Linked DNA regions of Rhinolophus ferrumequinum. The protein of the gene in region 2 binds, or shares a complex with, the protein of the main gene of each other region. Links are inferred from orthologs where the notes say so. Each region holds a gene or a part of one and is shown on either strand. Other genes may lie near its edges. The genes, in order: STX16, TBC1D23 and FAM91A1.

Region 1 (7,274 bases), on a different chromosome or scaffold from region 2:
GGCAGCAGGGACCAAAGGCTTAAGAAAAAGTGAGAAGAGAAACACTGAAAATGGAGACTATCTCATCAATTAGCTTAATTTTTTTCCTGCCAACCAAGAAAAGACCCTCATTAGTTACTATTAGTGATGGCCTGGTGTAGAGAGCACCTGTTTTCTGCTGAACGTCGCTGGTGTGGGCCAGAGGGAGTTGTTTCAGGGCCTCAATCAGGCAGTGACATGATGAGATTTGTGCTCTAGAAAGGTCACTGCGGCTGCAATGTAGAAGGTGGGTGGAGGAAAAGAGAGAGTGGTTAGTAGGAGGCTGTTGGAGAGACACGGGTAATGAGAACCAGCATTTGGGCAGAGGCAGTAGGGACTGGTGGAGCTGGGCACAGCCACTGCTAGATTTTTAGAAATGGCCACTGAATTGAATTATCTGGTTAAAAAAAAAAAAAAGAAAAGCCTAATGGACTTTGGACAACACAAAACTGTTGCCTCTCTGGAGTCTCCGGCTTGAGGGAGGCATCGTGGCTAAAGACAGAGCTCGGGAGTTTTCAGAGGTTGGAAATACTCAAGGTTTTGAGGAGCTATTTGGGGAGACAGAACACATGAGCTGCTGTTTCCTAAATCTGGCCAGAATCTGCCTATTATGTCAGATGTGTGCAAAGCAGACATTCATTAAGCTTGGGGGCTTTTGCTGCTGCTCATCTTGATAAAAGAACAACCATTTGTCTTTCTATAGGCACTAGAAAGGCCAAAGTTCAAAGGTGTCCAGTGGCTGTTTAAACCCCTCTTCTATGTGAGAGTACATCGTAGGCACGTCTGGATTCCCAGGCCACAGAACAAGAATCTTGAAAATGTGCTTGGAGAGTTTCCAGTTCCCACCACCATGCCTTGCTCTTTGGAGTTTGCTGTGCTGCCTTCCGGGGAGACTGGAGCCAACGGGAGCTCTGTGGCAGCAAGACGGCTGCGGTAATCGAGCCATGTTGCCCATTTACGGAGCACTTACTGTGCGCCGGGCCCCAGTGAGGGCTTCGTGAGGCCTAGCTCATCTAAACCTCCTCACCCAAGGAGGTGAGTAGCACACTGCGGACCCATTCTGTCTGACCACTAACCCAGCTGCACTAGAAACCTTCTTCCGTGCCTGCCATCGTCCCCCTGTAGTCAGGGAAGTCCATCTTTATGGTTCCCTGCTGCACAGATTAAGATGCCAAGAAGACAATGAAACACTTGTCTCCAAAAGTGACTTCTTGGATCCATTGGCAAAATGTTAGAAAGTGGGTCCGAAGCCCAAGAAACAGGACACCCAGGCTCTTTGAGCTTGGGGAGTATTACAGAATCCTACCCCAGGCCAAGAATGAGTCACAATGAAAGCTTTTAAAATATAAAACCATCAACCTAGATTTCAATTCCAAGGAAACACATACTTGGCCATGAGGGAATGCTTTAAAAAAAAAAAAAAAATCAGGCTTAAGCCACTTGACAGGAAAATAAAACAGCCAAGGAACATTCAAGTAGAATGATTTACATCCTGTCCCCTCCCGTCACCTCCCTTCCAATATGGGTCAGAGCAATCTCTGCCAGTCTGCACGTCCTCTCCGGGCTCCCCGCTTTTCACTTAACACTATTTCACGCATGCAATCCTGGGCCGGGTTAGAGCTGCCGGGTGCCGCCTTTAGGTTGCTATGCCAATCTCATGGATTCTTCATGATTTCCCTGTGCTTGGGCTCTTGGTTTGCTTGGGGTGGCTGTTTTGGGAATACGAAGATTTTTCTTCCATTATTTATGTGTGCAAGCACTGTTCATTTCTCTCGAAGAAACGGAAGCTTGATTGATTTCCTAACTGTAAGAAAGAAATTGCCCCGCGATAAATATTTAAGGCTGATGGGGAAGGGTGACCACCATCTGCTAAAACACCAGCTCAGGAATTACTCTCCCAGGGAAGGGAATAAATGGATAACCATCCTATATAATATTTGCTCAGTACCTGATAGTTTACAAAGGTGTTCACTTATCTCACTTGATTTTCACAATAACCCCGTAGAAGTAGACAGGGCATGGATTACAAGGATTATTAAAACCCCACATTTTTTCTTCACAGATAAGGGCTATAAAGGCTTAAAATCACTTGAGGCATGTCGCAGAGTTTGGTGACTGAAACGCGGGTCTCTAATTCATTCATACACATATTTTAAAAACATTTATCCGGAGCCTATTCCAAGCCAGAGGAAATGGCAGTGGGTACACAGATGAATAAAACACGGTTCCTGCGTAGGAGGAAGATCACGTTCTAGCCTGGGGGAGAGAGCCAGGAGAAGTAAACAAGTCTCTGCTTTGCAAGGTGATGAGTGTGCTCAAGAGAAAGGAACAGAGTGCGGACCACATTTCTAATCTGATGTTCTTACGAAGACCAGCTCGGTTGTTATTTACAACATCTGTCCTCCGAAGGGGGGAGTAAAGGGTCTTAGCTGTGTGCCTGGGGTCAGCTGTCACTGGGGGGAGCAGGGGGTCAGACGAAGTGTGGGGATAGAGCTCTCCCTCATTTGGCAAATGTGCAAATTTTCCTGGGTGTCGAGCTAAGCAGGCTCCCCGAATTTCCCTCCACGAGATAAATCAGGGTCTCTGCCTTTAGAGCGGCCGCAGCCTCCAGCTCGGGGAAAGCAGGCTGCTCGCTGTCTGCGGCTTACACGCGGCGGCGAGACGCGCGGCGAGGTTTTGTGCCGCCCGGGCAGGGTCCAGGCCTGGTAAAGTGCGAGCGAGCGCCCTCCCTCTCCCATCGCCCCGGCTCTGGAAGCCACAGCCCCTTCCTCGAATGTACGCGCCAGCCCGGCTCTCTGGCTCTCCCGTTTCAATGGTTCTTTTATTCTACACATTTTGATGTGTTTCCCAAGGATGTTTTTAACATTAATTTTTAGTTACACAAGTGACGCATAGAAACATTGTCTTTTAGAGACATGTACATGTATATATGTATATGTACTGGGTGGCCAGCGATTCGGCGGAGCCGGTTCAGGACCCCTCCAGCAGCCGTCCCAGGCAGCTGGCTGAGCGCCGACACCGGCTTTGTGTGGCTCCTCTTTGCAAGCCCAGCGCTTAGCACAACGCTCGGAAAGACACGTGTGTGTCAAGTTTGTGTCATGCAGGAACAGATGCAGGGATGAGGGCCCGCTCCCGGATTTCGGGGCGGTTTTCCTTTGTTAAGACCTCACTCCCGAGCCCTGCCCGGCGGCGGCCCCAACGTGGTCTCGGCTCGCCCGAGGAGGGGAAGCCGGCCCTGCCTGGGTCGCTGGGCTGGGGAGGCGCGGCCGCCCGGCTCCGCGACCCCAATCCGTCCAGCCCAGAACCCTCCATGCTGGGGTCCCGGGATGCAGGCCCGGCGGGACTCGGGTCTCCCTCGCTGGGCAGCTCCTGGCCTCTGCTCGCCGCGCTCAGACTCGGGCGGCTCGAGTCCCACGCGGACGCGCGGAGCCCCTGCTCGAATGCCGTCTACCCGGGCCCCTGGCTGCGAGGAGGGGTCGCCTGCCGTCCCCCGGCTTGGCCCAACCACGGGAAAGCGTGGGGCACCGAGCCAGGCCCAGCACGCCGGTGTGCGGGCCCAGTCGGCAGCAAAAAGTTGGTGGGGGTGGGGGTGGGGGCTGCCCAAGTTTCTGGGAACTTTTCGGCTTGAGATTCCACAACCCTGCAGTGCCCCCTACAGAAAGCGGCGACCGGGGAGGGCGGTCGCCCCCTACGACCCCCGATTGCTGGCGGCCTGGCGCTCTAGCTAAGCTCTAGCTCGCTGCTGCTTTCCCCCCCCCCCCTTGTTTTTCAGATACATCTTTTTTTAGAATTGAAAAAAAGCGAGCGCGAGCCGCTGCCTGCAGTGGAGCGTGCTCGGCCTCCAGAGGCAGTCGTCTCCAACTTTTCCTCTCCCGCCCCAACTCCGCTCGCGCCTCCAACTTCGGCTCTGCTGGAGCCCAAATTTGCCTGCCGCGCAACTCCACTCTAATGTACGCACCCAGGCCACGGGCAGCGGTTTGCAGCGTGGGGGCCACGCTCCCAAGGCTCAGGCCTGACCGCTCGCCCGTTTCCCGTGCTTAGGCCCAGTTGTGAAAGTGGAAACCAGGCGCCCCGGGAGCACCCCGGGAGGGGGCGGAGCGCTCCCGCGCCCCGGGGCAGAGGGGCAGGGAGCTCCCGCGCCCGGAACGTTGCAAGCAAGGCTTGCGAACGTTGCAGGGGGGCACTCGCGAGAGACGGACAGGAAGAGGGCCAGGGGGGACGCCAGAACCCGGGACCACAGTACGGAAACGGCCCGGGGCTGAGCTGCAGTCAGATCCGGGGATGGAGGGAGCCGGAGAAGAGGAGTGAGGAGGCCGGGAAAGCAGGCCGTGCTGTCCTCCTGGAGGCTGCAGCCTGCTGTGACAGTGGAGGACCAGTCCACCCAGAAAGGGAAGGGGTCAGGAGGTCGGGCCTGGGCTTTAGCAGGCTCAGACAAGGCCCAAGGAGGGAACACCAGGCACCCTAGAGTTTAGGGCCCAGGCTTGGCTGGGGTTGTCCAAAGGGGGCCTAGACCAGGCCTCTAGTAAGGAAACTGAGTCAGAATCAGGCCTTAGGGCTGGGCCCAGACGCGTGCGAGCCAAGTTAGGGGTAGGGGACCAAGACCCTCGAGGGTCTCCGAGACTAAGGGGGGTAGGGGGCTTCAGGGCCTCCGAGTCCAGAGCTGGATTGGCGAGTTAGACGCTTGTAGATCCAAGGTTGGATTGGGGTGGGGTCTCTGGGACGTTGGCTAGCGACGCAAGGATTGGGGGGATTTAAGTGCTTAGAGATCGAAGGCAGGACTTGGGTAGGGGGAGTTAGACAATTGGAAAGCCTCGGTGGTTAGTTGAGGAGGGGTCTTTGCGTTTTGGCGAAGCGCAAAGCTGCGCCTGTTTGGCTTGAGGTCTGAGGCCTTGTCAAGAGAAGCTGCTGTGAAGGGTGGGCCGACTAGGCCAGGCCAAGAGAAAGAAAGTGAACAAATCAGGAATATAAGTGGGCGGGGGGCCCCTGAGCGGGGGGTCACAAAGGGTGAGACATGGCCACCAGGCGTTTAACCGACGCTTTCTTGTTGTTGCGGAATAATTCCATCCAAAACCGGCAGCTGTTAGCCGAGCAAGTGAGTAGTCACACCACCTCCAGCCCTCTGCATTCACGTAGCATTGCTGCGGTGAGTCTCCCGGCGGCCTCTCCGACACACGCACCGTGTGCACTGCGGCTCTGCCTGTCTGTCTGTCTCTGTCTGTCTCTCTGTTTAAAAAAAGAGGATAAGAATAATACGGAAATGCAAGGTCTCTTGGCTACGGTCCTGGAGCACCTATAACCCTGGATGGGGAAAACCAGTTTTAGGCCCTTGCTCCATCTCTGCCTTGCCTCTCTCCTCACTTCCGCAACCCTCCCAATTCCCCCCTCCCCCCCCCCGTCGTCACTGCACGACAATCCGCCTCCAATTTACATATGTTTTAACACTAAGATTTGGAAGCACGGAGGCTTTCTGCAGCCTTTTTGTTTCGTTTTGTTTTAAACCCCCTCCCCCACCCCCCCATACTGGGCCTCACTTTGGTTCTAAGGGCCGGGTTGCGGAATCGCAGATCCTAATCCTTGCAAATGAAGAACACCCTCCCCCAAACGAGGAAGGAGTTGTTGGGTTTTTTTTTTCCCCCTCCGGTTTTCTTTTAATGGCCTCGCAGCCCTCTGTGTGGCCGTGTTCCCTATGAATAATTGCTTCACTGTTTTTCCTGGGGGCTTATGTTTGTGAGACTGTAAGGTGCTAGATTCTTCGTTTTCCATTTCCCAGACAGGAAATTAAGCTTTTCCCTCCATTCGAACTTTTTTTTTTAAAAAAACATAATGTGAAACATAATTGTGAAAATGAACCCCTAAATAGCCCATATTTTTGATTTAATTAACCTGAACCTTTCTTTAGCGCAGCGGTAGAATCTTTTACAGGGAGGGCTTGGGAAGATGACTGATGTTTTTGTGTTTGTTGAGGAGGGCTACTTTCCCTTTCTGAGCCTCAGTTTTCTGCTGTTAAATAAGGGGTGTGGGCGGTCTGGGTGATCTGTACAAAACAATGATGATTATTAGCCTTGTCGTATCTTAAATGGAAAAGTGAAGTTATGAAACTAGTTTGTAATGCGGGCTCCTGGCTATAGATAGGCCAGGTTTGAGTAGAAGCAGCATTGAAGAAGGAGGGAACAAAGTCATCCCAAATCAGATTCTTGGGGATTATACTGGAAATATACAGTTTTGGGAATGTCACACTTACTTCACCTCTTAGGGACTGTATTGTCTTTGAGTTTTTGTTCTTTACGACTTTATCTAAATGCTTCAGTAAAATTATGCTATGTGTCTTCATTATTGACAGAATGTCTACCCAGACAATTTTTCTTTTTTGTAAATCACAAGTGGAAACTCTTTGGCCATATTGTTCCTATAGAAAAGCTATTCTAAGCCGTGTGAGCAGTTTTAGGAATAAAATCACGTATACTCAGATAAAAAAATCATAGAAAACAGGGATGGAGTGTGTTTAGGTTATTATTTCCTTAAGAATTGGAAGGATTTTTGCCTTTGTAAACTGAAAGAAATGGTATTATACTGAAATAATTATAAAATGGGAGTGGGCTGATTCCAGGCTAATTTTGAAAAGAATATTCTGAAATAAGCCAAGAATTAGAGAGTTGAAATTGAATGAATAAAATCCCACACTGGAACTTGAGATTTGTTAAAGAAGATGTAAAAATCACATGTTCCTTAAATGGATTGATTTTATGCTACCTCATTGGGGGGGAAAAACAACTAAAACTCGTGTCAATGTTTCTAAGGTATCAGTTTTAATTGATTTGTTTGCTTTTAAATTTTTATAAGATTCAAAACACCCTGAAATGTTGGGTAACATGAGACTTTTTTTATTATTAATCAGTAGGTCAGACGGTTTAAAAACCTGGTGTCCGAGACGGGCAGCTTTTAAAAAGTGCATCTCTATCTCAAACCGATTTTTAAAATGGTTTTCTAAGTAGGCAATTAAAAAAATGCATAAGCTAAGTCAAATAACTAAAAACTAATAGCTAAAGTACACGGTTTGGAAAAATAGATATGCCAGAAAATGTACAGATACATGTAGATAACTCAGACAATTTCTTGAAATTAAATTTCTAAATCAAACTAAAGCTACATGTCTAAGTCAACATTAAAAATATTTTCTGTATGTTTTGCCATTTAAAATGTTACATACTTATACTAGTCTGACTGTTTAACATCTCAGATCATAAACAATCAGAGCA
Region 2 (7,564 bases):
TTTAGTTTGGAGTGTTTGTAAGTCATCCAAGTGCAAGTTCCCAGTAGATGGCTAGATATACAGCAAAGTACAAAAGAAAGGCTAAGGTTGGAAATACAAATCTAGGAATTATCAGGTTATAGGTGGGAATTAACAACAGAGAAGTAGTTGATATTGTCCAGAAAAAGAAAAAAAATGTGTGAGCAAAATTATAGAGAAGAGATTCTTTATCTAAAAATTTGTAATGCTTTTGTACCTGTGGTATTTTCATATTCATTATATCCTAAGAATTCTTTTTAAAAATAAAATTTTGTACTCTCCTTGTGTGAATTTAAAATTTAGAACTAACAGTGATAATCTGTACAATTTAGCATGGGTATTACAGATACCAGCCTGCAAATAACAGTCACAGAAATTGTGACATATGCCTATATTTTTTATACATATTGTTCAAAGTACCTATCATGTAATTCCAACAAATTAACTTAAATGGTTCCTTGCTAATTATTTTATTTAGCAAGACAAATGCCTAAGAGGAAGGCTGAGTACAAGTGTTTGAGGGGAATGGAGACAGATTATACATGAATAGTATAGCCGTTGTCTAAGGATACTGTTTACAGATTGTGTGTGTTTGTTCTCACAAAAAGAAAGAAGTTAAGTCTCTCAAATTAAGGTTACTTCCACCTAATATATTGTTTACTATCCCTGTTTCCAACCAACAGGGTTTCAACCTTAATAAGAGCCTTTTATCTGGAACAATAGGGAATTAGTTTGGAATGAGGAAAGGGTGAAACAGACTCCCACATTAAAGCACAACCGTCCCAAACCCAAGAATGGGTAAATCTCTACCTAAATGTTTACTTTGGATCCATATACATCATTTATGAAGAGTCAACTTCAATTAGCAAAGACAACTACTAGAAGGATAATGGAGAAATAATAAAGAGTCTAGCTCCTCTTTATCATTATTTGCTCAACATTTTTAAATGAATTAATAGCAGATGTTGAAATTGATGCCAACTGTTCACTTATCATCAGCCAATGGGAATTAATTTGGTTTTGCTTATCGTTAAATTAAATGTTAGGCCTCAGTAGTTTAAAGTGTCTTGGAATGCAGGTCCTGATGGGATTTTAAAGTTACAAATAACTGAAGTAATTTTGATAATTGTGGAAACATTTGTCCTTGTAAGATAACAAGGAAAATTCCTGGGAAAGTTAAGAATTCTGAAATTCTCACGTGATATTTGAAGAAACAAAAATCAATGTTTTGTTATTTAACAAGAACTTTTGGGCACCATATACTTTCAGCCCTACATTTCTCATCTCAGAGGCTATGACAGAAATTAAAAATGGTTGCCATTGTCAGAGTTAAAGAATACAAGATGCTGTAGTGCCCAGATGAGAGGGCCTGCTAATCATTTTTCACAAGTTCAGAAGAGATAGAGCTTGAGGAGAGCTGAGATGATATGGGCAGGGATGTCAGGACCGAGTTTGATTGAACCAAGAAGATTGTGCAGGATTTAATGTTACCTCAAGTGGCCGTCAGCCTCTAAGATGACCCTTAGTGATTCTTGCTTTTGGGTATTCAAGCCTTTTTGTAGTTCCCTCCTATGCTGAATAGAGCTGACCTGTGTAACCAATAGGCTATTGCAGAAATGATGGAGTGTGACTTTTTGAAGCTAGGTCATAAAAAATATTGTGGCTTCAATCTTGGTCTCTCTTAAACTTTCATTGTAGGGGGAGCCAGGCTCCATGTTAAGAGGAACTTCAAACAGCCCATTGAAAGCCTCATTTGGAAAGGATGGTAGGCATCCTGCCAACAGCCAACACCAACTTGTCAGGCATGTGAGTGAACCACTGAGGACGTGGGCCCTCCAGCCCCACTGAAGCCTTCAGACAACTACATGACTGCAATCCTGGCCAATATCTTGCCTGTAACATCAAGAGTCGCTGAGCCAGAACATCCAGCTCACAGAATTTGTGACATAATAAATGTTCATTGTTTTAAGACACTGAGTTTTGGGGTAATTTTTAAAGCAGTAATAGTTTAATACATCTTATTAGGTCTTCATTTTTACTAAGAATGCATGAAAGTCAAGGAAAGATTGCTTGAATATGAATATCAGAAACTAGGATCATTTCTCTCTCTTTTTTAAAGATATGCTACAATAATATTATAATAAAAAATGAAATAAGTTCTACTACACTAACATAACAATTGACCATACAGATGAGTTCACAACTACCTGCCCCTGACCCCAACTAGCCATTTCTATGTAGGTGAATGATTTCACCCATTCCAAAATACTGCAAAGAACAACAACAACAAAAAACACATCAATAAAAATCCCCTTAGTTCATTTAACAAATATTTATTGAGACTAGACTATGTGTCATAATATGAATTAAGTACATACAATACAATATAAATTGCATAATTATATGGCACAGAGCATCAAATAATAAACGAAAAATATTTTTGTTTTTTAGTTTTATTCAAAACCAAAAAAACAATTTTTTTCTCCATAAAATATGCAATTTGATTTTATCCAAAGATAATATGAAATGACATCACAGCTTCCTCTTTGGGTGTGGGAATACAATTAGCTGCACAAATGCAGGCAGGTAACACATCCTATGCAGATGACTGGATGGGCCTTTCTTAGAGACATATGTTGGAATGGCTGCCTTGTGCACAGATCCAGATGGTCCCCACCAGTAACGTTACCTTACCACAGCACAAGGTCTAAGATTCCAACTCCCTCTGCTCCAGAGGGATATAAAGAAATATAGCAGGAGCTCCTAGTATTGATGAAATCTTCTTACAACTAGGAGAAGGCAGTAATATAAGAAAACACAGGCAGATGATTTCATAATAAAATCCCTAGCTCTTGAAAAGTTTTTTTAAAGCAGAAATCTACTAGAATTTAACAAATTCTACTTGCCATTCCATGCTTATACTTTTTTTTAAAAGCATGTAATAATCCAGATAAATGGCAGGACTTTGAGATTTTTTTCAAAGCACAAAAATACTCAGAAAGTTACAGCCATAAAAACTTGTAGCCAACTAAAAAATGTTTTGTGGGCAAAGTGTGGTCCTTGTCATCTCAAGAAGTGAGGCATGTTGGGGAAAATGTGGACAAACCTGATCCAGAGCAAGAGGAAGGGCTGAGGATCAGAACTGTAGCAGTAACTCAACAGCCTGGATATCAACAAGCCAAACTCAAGCAAATATGGTCGACAGTGAACCAGTGGAACCTGTTCAAGAAAGAGGAACCAAAGACATACCAAGGTTAAGGACTTGACCTAACAACCAGATTCCTAGAATTACCACTGGAATAACAGGATATCATCTTGGTGATTATCATGACCTTGGAAGGAATACTCAGTAGAACATTGAACAGGTTGATGCATAAATAACAGATGATACCAATATTCCAGAAAATATCATTGCTAAACATTTTCAATTGAAATCTTGTCTCCTACTGTCAGTAGTTTCCGAACAAAATCTGTCTATTGCTGTGACTAGTGTCTGGCTGTGTTTATCTTTGACAATTGTCATTTCAATTTTTCTATATATCATTCTCCTGCATTTTTTAAAAGCACTTATGCGTCTACTCATAAACAATATATTTTCTTGTCTATTTTTAACTCCAAATTTAAACTACCTGTTACCTATCCTTCCGCACTGTTTTGTTCTTTTAAGATCATGTTTTTCATATTTATCCATATTATTACATGTAGCTCTACTTCATCAATGTTGGTTTCAGGGCTTGCAGAAGTATTTTTGTAGGTCCATCCTCCTAGGTCTGTGCCCACCCCCGGGCCCATGAATGATGAAGGGGAGACAAAAGGCCGGTGATTGGGGGGGGGGTTGTGGTGTGGTCTGAGCCTGGACATGGAGGAAGCCGAGGTGGTCATCCATGCGGAGTGAAGGGGAAGTAGGGTGAGAAGGAACGTGGCAGCCCTCCCTCTTGGAACTCCAAGAGTTCTAGCATCCTAAATTTGGACTTGACCTTCCAGGTTGTTATGAAGATCTATTTATAAAGATGGAAGGCTGGAACATATTTCCTTTACTGTTTAGCTTAGAAAAAAAAAAGGTTAAGCATTCAGACATAAAATATGTGGCGTCCATTTGCAGTTTTGACAGGACCCCACAAACAGGAGTGGGCTTGTCATTTCTTTCACTCGACTTTCCTTAATTCCAGTTGTTACAGTAGGCAATGACTGAAACGTGTCTACCTCCACCTTCTTTGTGAAATTCCCACCTCCTCGTCTCCATCACTATTAAGGACTGTCGATGCTGACTTTGTTAAGTACGACGCCAAGATGGAATGAAAACACTAACTGGACGCAAAGAAGCGACGCTAATAAGGGCGTCCTACCGGGAGATGCTCCCTCACCAAGCTTCGCCAACCCCGCCCAGCCGGAGACCCCCGCGGCATTCTGGGACATGTAGTTTTTGTCGGGGCAGCCGTCTCCACTAAGTCTCCTCCCCCACAGCTGCGTTTGGCCCTTGGGTCGTCGTGACGTTGCGTTCCTCCAGTCCCTTGCCTCCTCCCTCTTCCTTTCCCTCTCCAGAGGCTCGGTTCCAGGCTTCCGAGGACCTTTTACGACATTGGGTCTCAGAGTTGCTCTCGGTCCACTTTTCGGCAAAGTGACGTGGACGTCAACAGCAATGGCGGAAGGAGAAGAGGTCCTGCCACTGTCAACGCCGAGCGACGACCGCTGGTGAGTGAAAGCCCGGAGCTGATTCTCACTGCCCCTCCATTCTTCCTTCTCACCACCCTACCTGTCTCTGAGGCACCAACAGGCGCCGGCATGGAACCGGAAGACCCGTCCTCAACCAAGTGCAGCGCCCTGCCCCGCCCCCTCTGCTCGCCGGGTCCCCTCAGCCAGCCGGCCGCCCGAGGGGCTAAAGCCGGACTCGAAGGGAGAGGGGTGTCGTCCAGCTACTGGGCCTCAGTTCGGTCCTCCAGCTTCGTCCACGGGTTTCCAAAATGCCTTGGAGAGGGTGGCTTCAGGGCTGGGTTTGGCCGGAGTCCCTGGCCGGGGGAGTAAGAGTAGGCTGGTTGGGAAGTTTCGCGGATGCGGATCTGAGGCACTAGCATACCATTTAAAGAACAGATCACTTGAAATGACTCCTGCGATAGTTGCCTGCGGGTTCAGAGGTGGAGGGACACTCCCAGGGAGGATCCCTCTGAAATAGTTGAGATTTTTTTTATCTTAATTTTTTTTTTTTTTTTTTTTTTTGTATTTCTCTTTTCGAGTTCCAACAATTTCCACCGTTCGTCTCTCTCATACCAGTCGTCCTTTGCCTTCCTGACACTTTCCTCACAGTTCGATCTTCACAGCTTTGGATGCGGTGTGCTCTTGCTCCTTTGCGTGCTTACCTGATTTATACCCGGGGTTGTGGGGAGGATCTCCAATAATTTTTTGCTAGACTTTAGTCACCCAGTGTCGTTAATTTTGGGGAAAAGCTCCTATTGTTGAAATAGTTGATCTTCACAATACATTTTTAGGGACATCATAAAATATGGAACCTTTAGAGGCTTGTCGAATTTTTACACTCGATCTAAACGTATTGACCACCTATATTAGTTTTAGATTTCCTTGTTCGCCGTATGCATACTGCTCACTGGCACGCTGTTTGCATAAAAATAATACAGGGCATTTGTAGACGTGGACTTTAATCCCCAAGAAAGAAAGGGAAACCATTGAAAGGGATTGATAATAGTAATTGAGAAATTCATGGAAGCAGAGTTGTTTGAATTAGGCCTTGAAAAATGAGTAGGATTTAGATCAGTGCTGTCCAATAGAAGTGTAATGTGAGCCACCTATATAATTTCAAATTTTCTAATAGCCATATTAAAAACTAAAAAAGAAGCAGGTGAAATAAATTTTAGTTATCCATTTTATTTAATCAAACCTATCAAAGTAGAATTAGATAATTTTACATGTATTTTGTACCAAGTCTTCAAAACACAATGTATATTTTACATTTACCCTACATCTCAATTTGGTATTGCCATATTTCAAATGTTAAGTAGCCACACGTGGCTAGTGACTAACATATTGGATAATGCAGTCAGATTAACAGATGGAAACCGTCTCTGAATGGAGTAATAGCACGAACAAGGACATAGGCAAGAAAACTAATGATTTGTTTGGAGAGTAATGACTAGAACTTCGTGAAGTTTGCTGTTTGCGAAGAATGAATTGTTGTATCATAAACTGTAATCAGCTGATTGAAGGCCAGGAGGGGAAATGTTTGTAGAGTTAAGTGTCTTTGAGGAGTTCTTTGGTTAGGATTGTGAGCATGAGTCTGGTTCACAGGGGCAAGGAACATGGAATGAATGATTGCTAGAGGTAGCATTTGTTCTCTTTGGTGTGGCTTTCTTTTTTTGCTTTTTTTTTTTTTTTAATGAAAGGAGGTGTTCTGTGATTTCTACTCTCTCTCCATTCTTTTCTAATTGCTCCTTTTTCTCTACTCACTACTCACCCGTCCCCTAGAAATGAGTCTGAATAGAGTCAGAAAGGACATTCAGAATTGGAGCCATAGGTTCGGTAAGGCCTTTCCTTTTAGAGTGCTTGGTGAATGGGTTGTTAGGGAATGGGGAGGGTTTACTTCAAAAAAAAAATGCTATCACATTTTTATTGTAACTTTTTCAGATGGAAAATTTTCTGAAATGTGTTAATACATCTCATTGCCTAACCTAAACTCATCTTAGTGACTTAGGTTTATCGAGTTTACAAATGGTAAGTGATAAGAATAAAACTAGGTCTCTGTCCTCAAGGAATTTGTGGTCTAGTTAGGAGAAGCACGTTTAAGAACATCAATTACTGTTACAATTCTGTAATACAGTGAGACCTTTGGGTCCTGTCTAGGCAGGAGGGTGCATTGTTGCTGTTAAATGTCCCTATACAGCCATCCCTTTTTGAGATTGCTTTTATTAGTCTTTCCCGTTTCCTTTCTTTGTTGTTAGTGGTATCTCCCAGTTTGTTCCTAATCTGAGAAACTAGGTAGCTGAATGTGTTAAAATTGTGTATACATTTGTAAACACAAAGGCTCAGGATGAGGCTTGAAAATCTTAAAAGTATAAGATGTCACTTTTACTTATATACTGGTTTTCAGTTATGTTCTAGATCAGAGCTTCTCAAAATTTAAATTTGCGTTCGGTTTTCCTGAGGATCTTGTGAAAATGCAGATTCTGATTTAGTAGATTTGCTTGGGACCTGAGATTTTATATTTCTGACTGATTAGTTCCTGGGTGATGGCATTTCTGCTGGTTCATGGACCACATTCTAGTTAGCAAGGTTCTAGACGATGTATATTTCAGTTCCCTTTGGTGACCACTAAACTGTTGTCTGTGCCTATGCGTTTTTGTTTTTTGATTTGTTTGTCTTGTTCCTTTGTTGCCTTCAGTTTTATATCCCACATATGAGTGAAGTTACTTGGTTCTCGACTTTTTCTGTCTGACTTATTTTGCTTAGCATAATAATCTCAGAATCCATCCATGTTGTCACGAATGGCATTATTTCATCTTTTCTTATGGCCGAGTAGTATTCCATTGTGTATATGTAC
Region 3 (8,005 bases), on a different chromosome or scaffold from region 2:
GCAGGGAGAAGGATGCATTTCATAATCCTGCTGACTTTAGAGACAAATTAAGGGAAATTTTCAGATAAAAAATTGGTTGCCATTTACTGTCTGAGTGTCTGATGCAGCCACTCATGGCTCCCCAGAATTCCTAAGCTGGGTTAATGAGGTCATATTATGAATGCCTCACTACAAATGACTTGAGTCCAGTGACATCTCATTAGGGTTAAGAGTATTTCAGGGATCCTTAATATTTTGATTTTTGTTTTCGGCAACTGGGTTTTATTTTATTTTATCCTATAATTTCAGTTCATCTAAATTTCGTGTTCTGTACATGTGATGTTTGACTGTATCATTGGCTGTTATGAAAGTTCAGTGTCACATGTCTCTATACTGCGGTGCACTTGTGGATTTTTTTATACCAAAAATATAGAAAGACTGTTTTGAAGATTTGAAAACAAAAAAGTGAATGTAAACTCAATCAAAGTACTTAATACCTCTAATGCCAAAAAGCAAATTCTTTCCATACAAGGAATATTCCCCACTTATAAAATGCCTGAGCTTGAACTTATCACCTGGAAAAAAATCTCTTACTGATGCCATCACTCATTCACTCCAAAAATATTTACTATAAGCTAAATATGTGATAGGTGCTTAAAATACAAAAGCGAGACAAGTAATGTAACCGGAAAATGCAACATAGCGGGATAAGTGCTACAGGTAAGAAATACAGTGCAGTGGTAACATATCCGAGACAACTGATCCAGATTTAGGAAGTCAGGGAAACTTTGCTGGAGGAGTTAATATCTGAGATTCAAAAAGAAGCTGCAAGTAATCTATAGGAGATGGGTAGTGACAGGATTGGATTTGCATTTTAGTAACCTGATCCCAGTATAGTGTGAAGAATGAATGGGAGGGTCCTATTCTAACGCAAGAGACCAAAGATAAAAGCTGGGGCAGTAACTTAGAGAAACAATGGCAAGGCTAGAGAAAGACTAAAGTAGTAACTTAAATACAGATGGGCTTTGCAACACCTTCTACAAGTGGAAACTTATCCTAAGCTAAAACAGCTATTCTTTTAAGAGACCTTACCCCCCAAAAAATTTCAATTTGATGTCACGTTTATATCTAATTTTAACACTGTTCTGTGATTATTTTTAATAATCATGACTAAGGTTTAAAAACATTTTTGCCAATATTAAGTAAGGTCAATTATTCATGTTGGACATAATTGAACCATCCATCTTTCTTCCTTATGCTACATTTATTTTTGTGAAAGGAAGAGTAGACAAAAGATGGAAACAGAGAAAAGAACAATTGTTGGTTCTTCCAGTGGTCTTTGGATATGCCAACAAAACCCTAAAGAACAAAAGTGTCCACCAAAGCCTTCATTGAAGCTTAACAAGGGAAACTTATTCCTTCAGGTTTAGAGTTTTGTTCTTCCAGGTCAAGCTAAATGCTACATGGGCAGCCAAGATTTCTGAGTCCCTTAAATTTATCTTTCTACTTTCCTGTCTCCTTGATATCTTAAAGCAAAAGCATTTGCTCTGCAATTTGATGCGCTGCCAAACCTTATTCATTTCCCAGAACTAAGCCCCCAAGCTGAGAGAGGTGGCAAAGGAATAACCTTACACCATCACCACCACCATGCCAAATTTTCCAAATAGAACTGCCCAATGGAAAAGAGAATTTCCCTCTCAACCACGCAGAATGGGAGGCACTTTAGGGTCAATCTATGATGAGAGAAACGGTGCCTCATATGGAGCAAACGCATCACGACCTTCATAAGATTTTTACACCACCTGCCATGTTATGTAGCAATTCATTTACTATCTTTCTTTCCTAAACTGTAAGCTCCATGGAGGCAGGGTCTTTATCTTGATGACGGCTGCAAATTACCACACCTAGAATAAGGCATAGAACGCAGCAGGTGTTCAATAAATATTTGTTAAACAACTTTGTAAAAATTAAGCTCCAGCATTTGAGACTTAACTCTCAGGCAAAAACCTCATGTCACTCTCTTAATGAAACATCTTTCACAAACCCATCTTGTCTAGAGAATAACGTCAAACAAAATGAAGTACAAAGCTTCTTCAAACTCTGGCCCTGACTGTTTTTCCAGCCTCCTCTGCTACCACCCGGACGCACTCAGAAAACCACACCTCCAAACAGATCAATGTATCTACACCTCCAAACTCGGGTGATATTAAGTCGCTTGCTGCTGTCGAAACATTGCTCTTTCACTCTTCCAAGCTTTTTAAAACGCCTCTCTCCCTGGGAAATCGTTATCCCCTCTTCTCTCCTATTCATCCTGCAAGGCCCAATTTAAATGTCTCCTCCACACGTCCTCCCAACACTCCCTGGACAATGTCTTCGTCCCTCCTCTGTGTGCCCACATATGCTGTACCACAGGTACGTATGCGCTGCCATCACCTGTAAGCATGCCTGTTTCCCACCATCCTGAAGTTCTGGGGGTCAAGTGTTTTCAATGTTTCGCAGGCGCCTAGCCCGTGCCTGGTTGAATGGAGGCTTCGGGCAAAGGCGCCAGGCGAGTCCAGGGTATGATACCATTCCATCCTTTTTTTGCAACGACCCCATCCTGCGTCTGTGGCCCCAGAGCCGCCCCCTCCTCATCCCCGGGCTGCCGGGCGGTTTTCCCGAGACCCTGTTGGGGGGAAGGGCGGGAGTCACCCGGCGGAAATCAGCCCGGAGCCCCGTGGGCGAAGCGAGCAGGTGACGGCGGGGCGGGGCCTCGGCCCCAGGTTGCGGCCGTACCTGTTTCACGTTGGCGGGCAACTTGCTCCAAGGGTAGTTGTGCCGAATGTGGAACTCCACGTCTATGTTCATGATGCCGGGCGCCCAGGCCGGCGGCTGCGGCCCCGACCGCTGCAGGAACGACGCCTCCCGCCTGCCCGCCCTCGGCCTATCGGGGGAGCTCGCGGGAGGCCCCGCGCCTCACACGGCGCAAGGCCCGGGCTGCCCCATGGCCAGGGCTTCCGACGGCTCGGCGCGGCCCGGGCCACGGGGCACAGGAGCAGCGGAGAGAGGTGGCAGAGGTGCCTCGGTAGCTCCAAGTTTCTTCCTAGTTTCGGCCCGCCGGAAATGGCTGTGGATTTGCGTCACTTCCGCCCACTGGAGCGAGGCTGGGGGGCGGGGCGTCAGGCTGGCCTCCTGCCCTGCCCTTTACACTGAGGGGCGGGGCAACCAGGTGGTGCCCGGAGGTACCCAGGTAACCGCTCCACCCCCACCCCCACCCACTCGCTACGCCTCCCGCTGTCAGTCTCTGGATGAATTAAGATAGGAGCTTGGGTCTGCATGACCACTGTTGGATGATCCACTTTCCCCAAAATGTGAACCCAGGTGGTCCCAAGAGCAGGCGATTACAGGCTCTAGGGTCAGTTGTGTGAGAAGGAACGACTTGAGGAGGCCATAGCTGGCTTAATAGTTCAAGAGCAGTGAGTCCCCTGGGAGCTCTCCATGGCCAACCCTGAACCCGGGCCAGGTGGATGGGGTCCAGGCTCACGAAAGAGTTTCTAAGTCAGAGCTTTCTCAATTGAGCGAGAAGCCGAGGGAGTGGTGTTCCTTCATTCCTTGTAGGTAGTTGCTGCATCTTGTGGAAAAGAAACCTTGGACTCTCCTTGGAAGGTCCAAATTCTTAAAATGCAGAGATTCAGGGAGCTGAAATTTTAAATAGCCGGTGCTGACAAATGGGGGGAGACCCAAAGGGAATCCAGGAGACAGAGAAAGATCCTTGCATGCAGCTTCTGGTTACTGCTTTGTTCTGCTCCATACGAATGCCTCCAGAGTCACTTTTCAAAGGCAGAAATCAGCCTACCTTAATTTCAGTTCTAGTGAGAGGATCTTTGGAAACAATTCCTTCCAGAATTTGTTACACTGGCTTACTAGCAAATCCATGACCATTGTTACTGGCAGCAACCAGAGACAAGTTCAGTATTTTTGCAACTACTTCTCAGTTTTAAACACTGGTTTTTATACACTGACACTTTAATATATGCAGAAATGTTAATAAGCGTCCAGACCACCCCTTAGCAGCTGGCTGTCTGAGGCATAGCAGGAACCCCACTATGTCTGATGAATTGAAATAAATGCGGTCCACATTGCCCTAGCATAGATGTATTAATCTCAGGTTATCCAACTGTAAGAGCCCATAACTGCTTTGGATCCTGTGTTTACAGATCTTTGTCATCATAACTAAATTTAACAGAACTCTGACCACGAGACATTTATTCAACAAATATTGATTACCTGTCCGCTATATAGTAAGCCCTTCACTTGCAATAGGTTCTTATTCCTCACAACCTTATGAAAGAATATGACTATCCCGATTTAATAGAGGAAACAGACTTGGCAGGGCTGCCTGACTAGCTCGCAAAATCACACAGGTGGTAGTGACAGAGCCAGACTGAAGCCCAAAGCTCTCATGCCAGAGGCATCCTTTCAATTCCTCGATTCAGACTCTCACTCACTGAACTGTTGTTCTGGCTCCTCTTCCAATTCAGATCATGTTCATTTAAAGTCAACAACATAAATCTCCCTCAAAAATAATTTTCAATATTTCTAAGAGTAGAAGAACTCACATTCTTCCCAAGTCTAACTCTGGTATAATGCAATGCAACAATGAAAATTAAATTCAACATCATTTTTAAATCCCTGTAAACAATTATTTTAACTAATTATAAGTTAAACGGGCGAACACCTGCTGAATTCATCTTTTTTGTTTATCAAAAAATATTGGCTACAGTGTGGACACATCAAAAACTACGAAAGTAGATGGGATGGTGGAGATGGACACCCACTGAATCAATAAGACACAGATCTTTGAAATTTTGACTATGAAAAGAAAAGATTCTAATTCAGTAGGTAGAATAGAAAAGATTCCAACTCAGTAGGTAGCTGAGAAAGGCAGAAATTTAAGGGAGGAAATGGTAATGTGTCAAAGCTATGTATGGGAAGAATCCAAACGACAAGCCCTTCAGAGTAGAAACTGGTGACAGAGTTTGGCTTATGAAATACAGGGTGTTAATTAAAGTGCAGGTATGCCTCATTTTCCCCAAGATGACTGCCAGTCTTTGAGAGACTGGAAACAAAGTAGTTCAGAGACCATAGGTTAACCCACAGGGCTCGAAGTCTTCCTCCAGTGGGAAGTTCAGGAACAGGACTGCTCCCTCAAACACCAGGAACAACTGCTCACTGGGCTCTACATATAGCACTCATTACAGCATCACGCCTTTTTGGCAAACGATAATTCCATCCCTTTAGGTCCTTGACTCAGACCCCTGCTATTGCTGCTTCGGTAGACCTTTGCTTTTCAAATTCCAGAGAAGTCAGAAACTGCAGGGTTAGAATCCGCGTCTCAGAAGCTGCCATCCAAATTATCCTTGTGGGTAAACAATGTGTTCAAAAATACAAGTGCAATGAGATTCAATCTTACCTGGCTTTACCAACTCAGACTAAGGAAAATTACCCAGTTGGCTTGGGCAAGCTGCCCTTCAGAAGCACTACAGAACTATTTCATTCCTGAAATTCCAACAAACATAATGAGCAGAAACAACCTGGAAGTAAGGAGGTGTCTGGTGATCTAATTTCAGACTCCAGAATATTATTCTATGTGTGGTATATCATAATGGCCCCAAAGGTGTCCATGTTTCAATTCCTGGAACCTGAGAATATGGAACCTCACATGGAAAAGGAGACTTTGCAGATGTGATTAATTTAAGGATCTGGAGATGGGGAGATTATCCTGGATTATCCAAGTGGGCTTGATATAATCACAGGTTCTTCATAAAAGGGAGGCAGGAGGGTGAGAGCCAGAGATAGAGATATGACAATGAAGCAGAGTTCACAGTGACTTAGGACCACAGGGCAAGGAATGTGGGCAGCTTCTTGGAACTGGAGAAGGAAACAGATTCTTCCCCAGAGCCTCCAAAAGGATCACAGCCCTGCCAACTCATTTTGGACTTGTGATCTCCAGAACTCTAAGATAATAAGTCCATGTTGTTTTAAACCACTAAATTTGCGGTCATTTGTTACCGCAGCCGCAGGAAAATAATATACTCCTCCAACAGTACTCCAAAACCCAAACAGCTGATGCATTAAATTTCACAATTAAATCATTGTAATTTAAATGTAAATACCCTTAGGAGGAATAAGAGCTTTTTAGCCTCATTTTTCTTTTCTTTTTTTTTTTAAGTATACATGAACTATCACATCCTTTTCTGAGGACAAGTTTGAAAGAGGAAGAACTCAGGGATTAAATGAGGCTATAAAAGTACCTAGAGAGGAGGAAATGGTGTGTAGATAAAAGAAAGGGGACGGAGCCATTGGAAACATTTTCTGTTTCGCAATTCTGCTTGGGCTTGACCTTGGCCATGGGTTTCCCTGCCACATATTTCTTTGCTCTGCTCCAGAATGGCAATTCATCAACCCGTGATGCTTGACACCATGGTCTAGCTTGTTCCCACATAACGGCTTTGGCCCTTGCTGTTCCCTTGGCCTTACATGTATGCTTTTCCTCAGAACTTTACACAGCAGGCTTCCTTCATTCTACCCCCTTGCACTGAGAGTGGCATTCTCCAACTGCTTTGTCCAACCTGGCCACGTCTTCCCCTCCTCTCTCTAACACATTACCTTGGTTTAGTTCTTTGGTTGCAAGAAATCACGGTCTGACATTATCCTACTTGGTTCATTGTCCGTCTTCTCAGCAAGAATCTTGTTCGTCAGCCTAACTCCAGCGTATAGAATCATGCCTCACCCATAAGTACTCAATAAATATCACTGAACGTATTGAAGGAGTGAACTAGTTATGTGACACCTGAGCTCTCAAATGTCACCTCCTCACTTAAGTCTTCTCTGACCACCTTATTCAAAATTGTAACACGTCTCCGGTCCTCCTCAGCTGCCTCCCCTGGATTATGGTTCTCCGGAGCACTTATTGCCATCTAATATATTTAACATAGTTTTAAAAATTATTCATCTCTCTCATTAGACTGGAAGTGTCCCCGAAGTAAGGGCTTTTGTCTGTTTCCTCCTCTGCTGTGTCCTCAGGCCTAGAACAACACATCGTTGGCACTTGATAAATAATAAATGAATGAATAGATGTTGCAGGGAGCAAAATTCTCATAAAAATCCAGATTTGAGGATTCTCTTGAAAATGCGGACAATCCCACAGCATTAGACACCCTTCCCCATGCCAGTCAGGGAAGCCGAGGACAGGCTGCCTGGCTCAGACAGAACACACGCTCTCTCACGGATCACATTCTCCACTACCTCCACTGCCTGTCACGGAGGATGTTGGTTGTGAAAACCATCCCGCTCACACTTCGTTTATTTGGGAGGAAAGAAATGTTTCTGTATCCTTGTCTGTGCCTGAAATACTACGCCATTGGCAATTCCCTAAATATGCCACACTGTGTAATCCCTTCAGGTCTTTGCACGTACAATACCCCTCTCTGGAATGCTTTCCTCTCCTTTTCTACCTGGAAAACTTCTCATCCTGACAGGGTGAATGGAACCCTAAAGAATCAGAAGGTGAGGATGGAGACATGAGAAGGGGCCAGATCACATGGGACCGTTTTTTCCTACATAATGGAGTTTCTAGGATTGTCTTCTGCAAAGGATGGAAAACAACGGAAGAGTTCCAAGTCTGTTTCAGAGAGAGGCAGAGAGATCCTCTGCCATAGAGCCTGGGAAATATTAATATTGTATATTTATGTACAACATAGAGCATGTTATATTTCTGCCATTTGAAGTTAGTGTGTATAGAACATTTGTAGCCTGATGTGGAAATGTACTTCTCCAATATCAAGCCATGTCACCCCCACACAAATGCTGAACAACTGTAATAGTTCAGGTGCCCACTAGGGGTTGATCTCACTCAACATTTCTATACCTAAAACTCGCAAGCTGTCTAGTTCCTCATTTCTGACTATTTTGGACTTTTACCCAAATCCATTCTCTCAGGCCTTGAAGTCTTTGAAATTCTTTCTCTAATTTGTCTCCAGAATCT

Evidence for each region.
Region 1: the proteins of TBC1D23 (region 2) and STX16 are in contact, whole or in part, in a crystal structure (PDB 8QQF), measured with the Homo sapiens proteins. The link is inferred for Rhinolophus ferrumequinum from reciprocal best matches to the Homo sapiens genes TBC1D23 and STX16. Residues at the interface, in NP_001186127.1 of Homo sapiens: Leu638, Asn639, Ser640, Val641, Val642, Lys643, Ile644, Thr645, Ser646, Lys647, Lys648, Ser661, Ser662, Ala663, Ile666, Thr683, Lys687, Ile690, Met691; in NP_001001433.1 of Homo sapiens: Asp209, Asp210, Asn211, Thr212, Leu213, Tyr214, His215, Arg216, Phe218, Thr219, Glu220.
Region 3: the proteins of TBC1D23 (region 2) and FAM91A1 are in contact, whole or in part, in a crystal structure (PDB 8JJ9), measured with the Homo sapiens proteins. The link is inferred for Rhinolophus ferrumequinum from reciprocal best matches to the Homo sapiens genes TBC1D23 and FAM91A1. Residues at the interface, in NP_001186127.1 of Homo sapiens: Arg533, His534, Val535, Ser536, Ser537, Asp539, Val541, Gly542, Lys543, Pro544, Tyr545, Arg546, Val548, Pro550, Val551, Phe552; in NP_659400.3 of Homo sapiens: Arg49, Glu60, Arg61, Tyr64, Asp84, Ile85, Lys88, Gly89, Leu90, Arg91, Ile92, Thr93, Phe95, Ser96, Ile159, Pro161, Tyr176, Ile177, Thr178, Glu179, Asp181, Ile182, Lys190, Asp194, Ile197, Asp198, Tyr216, Asn217, Lys218, Gly219.

Annotation. Positions count from the first base shown.
Region 1 is NC_046306.1:3,629,128-3,636,401, reverse strand, and holds the start of STX16 (syntaxin-16), read left to right. Parts: upstream 1-4,234; 5' UTR 4,235-5,029; coding exon 5,030-5,161; intron 5,162-7,274. UniProt on the Homo sapiens protein: SNARE involved in vesicular transport from the late endosomes to the trans-Golgi network.
Region 2 is NC_046285.1:29,495,127-29,502,690, forward strand, and holds the start of TBC1D23 (TBC1 domain family member 23), read left to right. Parts: upstream 1-4,545; 5' UTR 4,546-4,657; coding exon 4,658-4,710; intron 4,711-7,564. UniProt on the Homo sapiens protein: Putative Rab GTPase-activating protein which plays a role in vesicular trafficking. Involved in endosome-to-Golgi trafficking.
Region 3 is NC_046297.1:60,985,507-60,993,511, reverse strand, and holds the start of FAM91A1 (protein FAM91A1), read right to left. Parts: upstream 3,081-8,005; 5' UTR 2,827-3,080; coding exon 2,755-2,826; intron 1-2,754. UniProt on the Homo sapiens protein: As component of the WDR11 complex acts together with TBC1D23 to facilitate the golgin-mediated capture of vesicles generated using AP-1.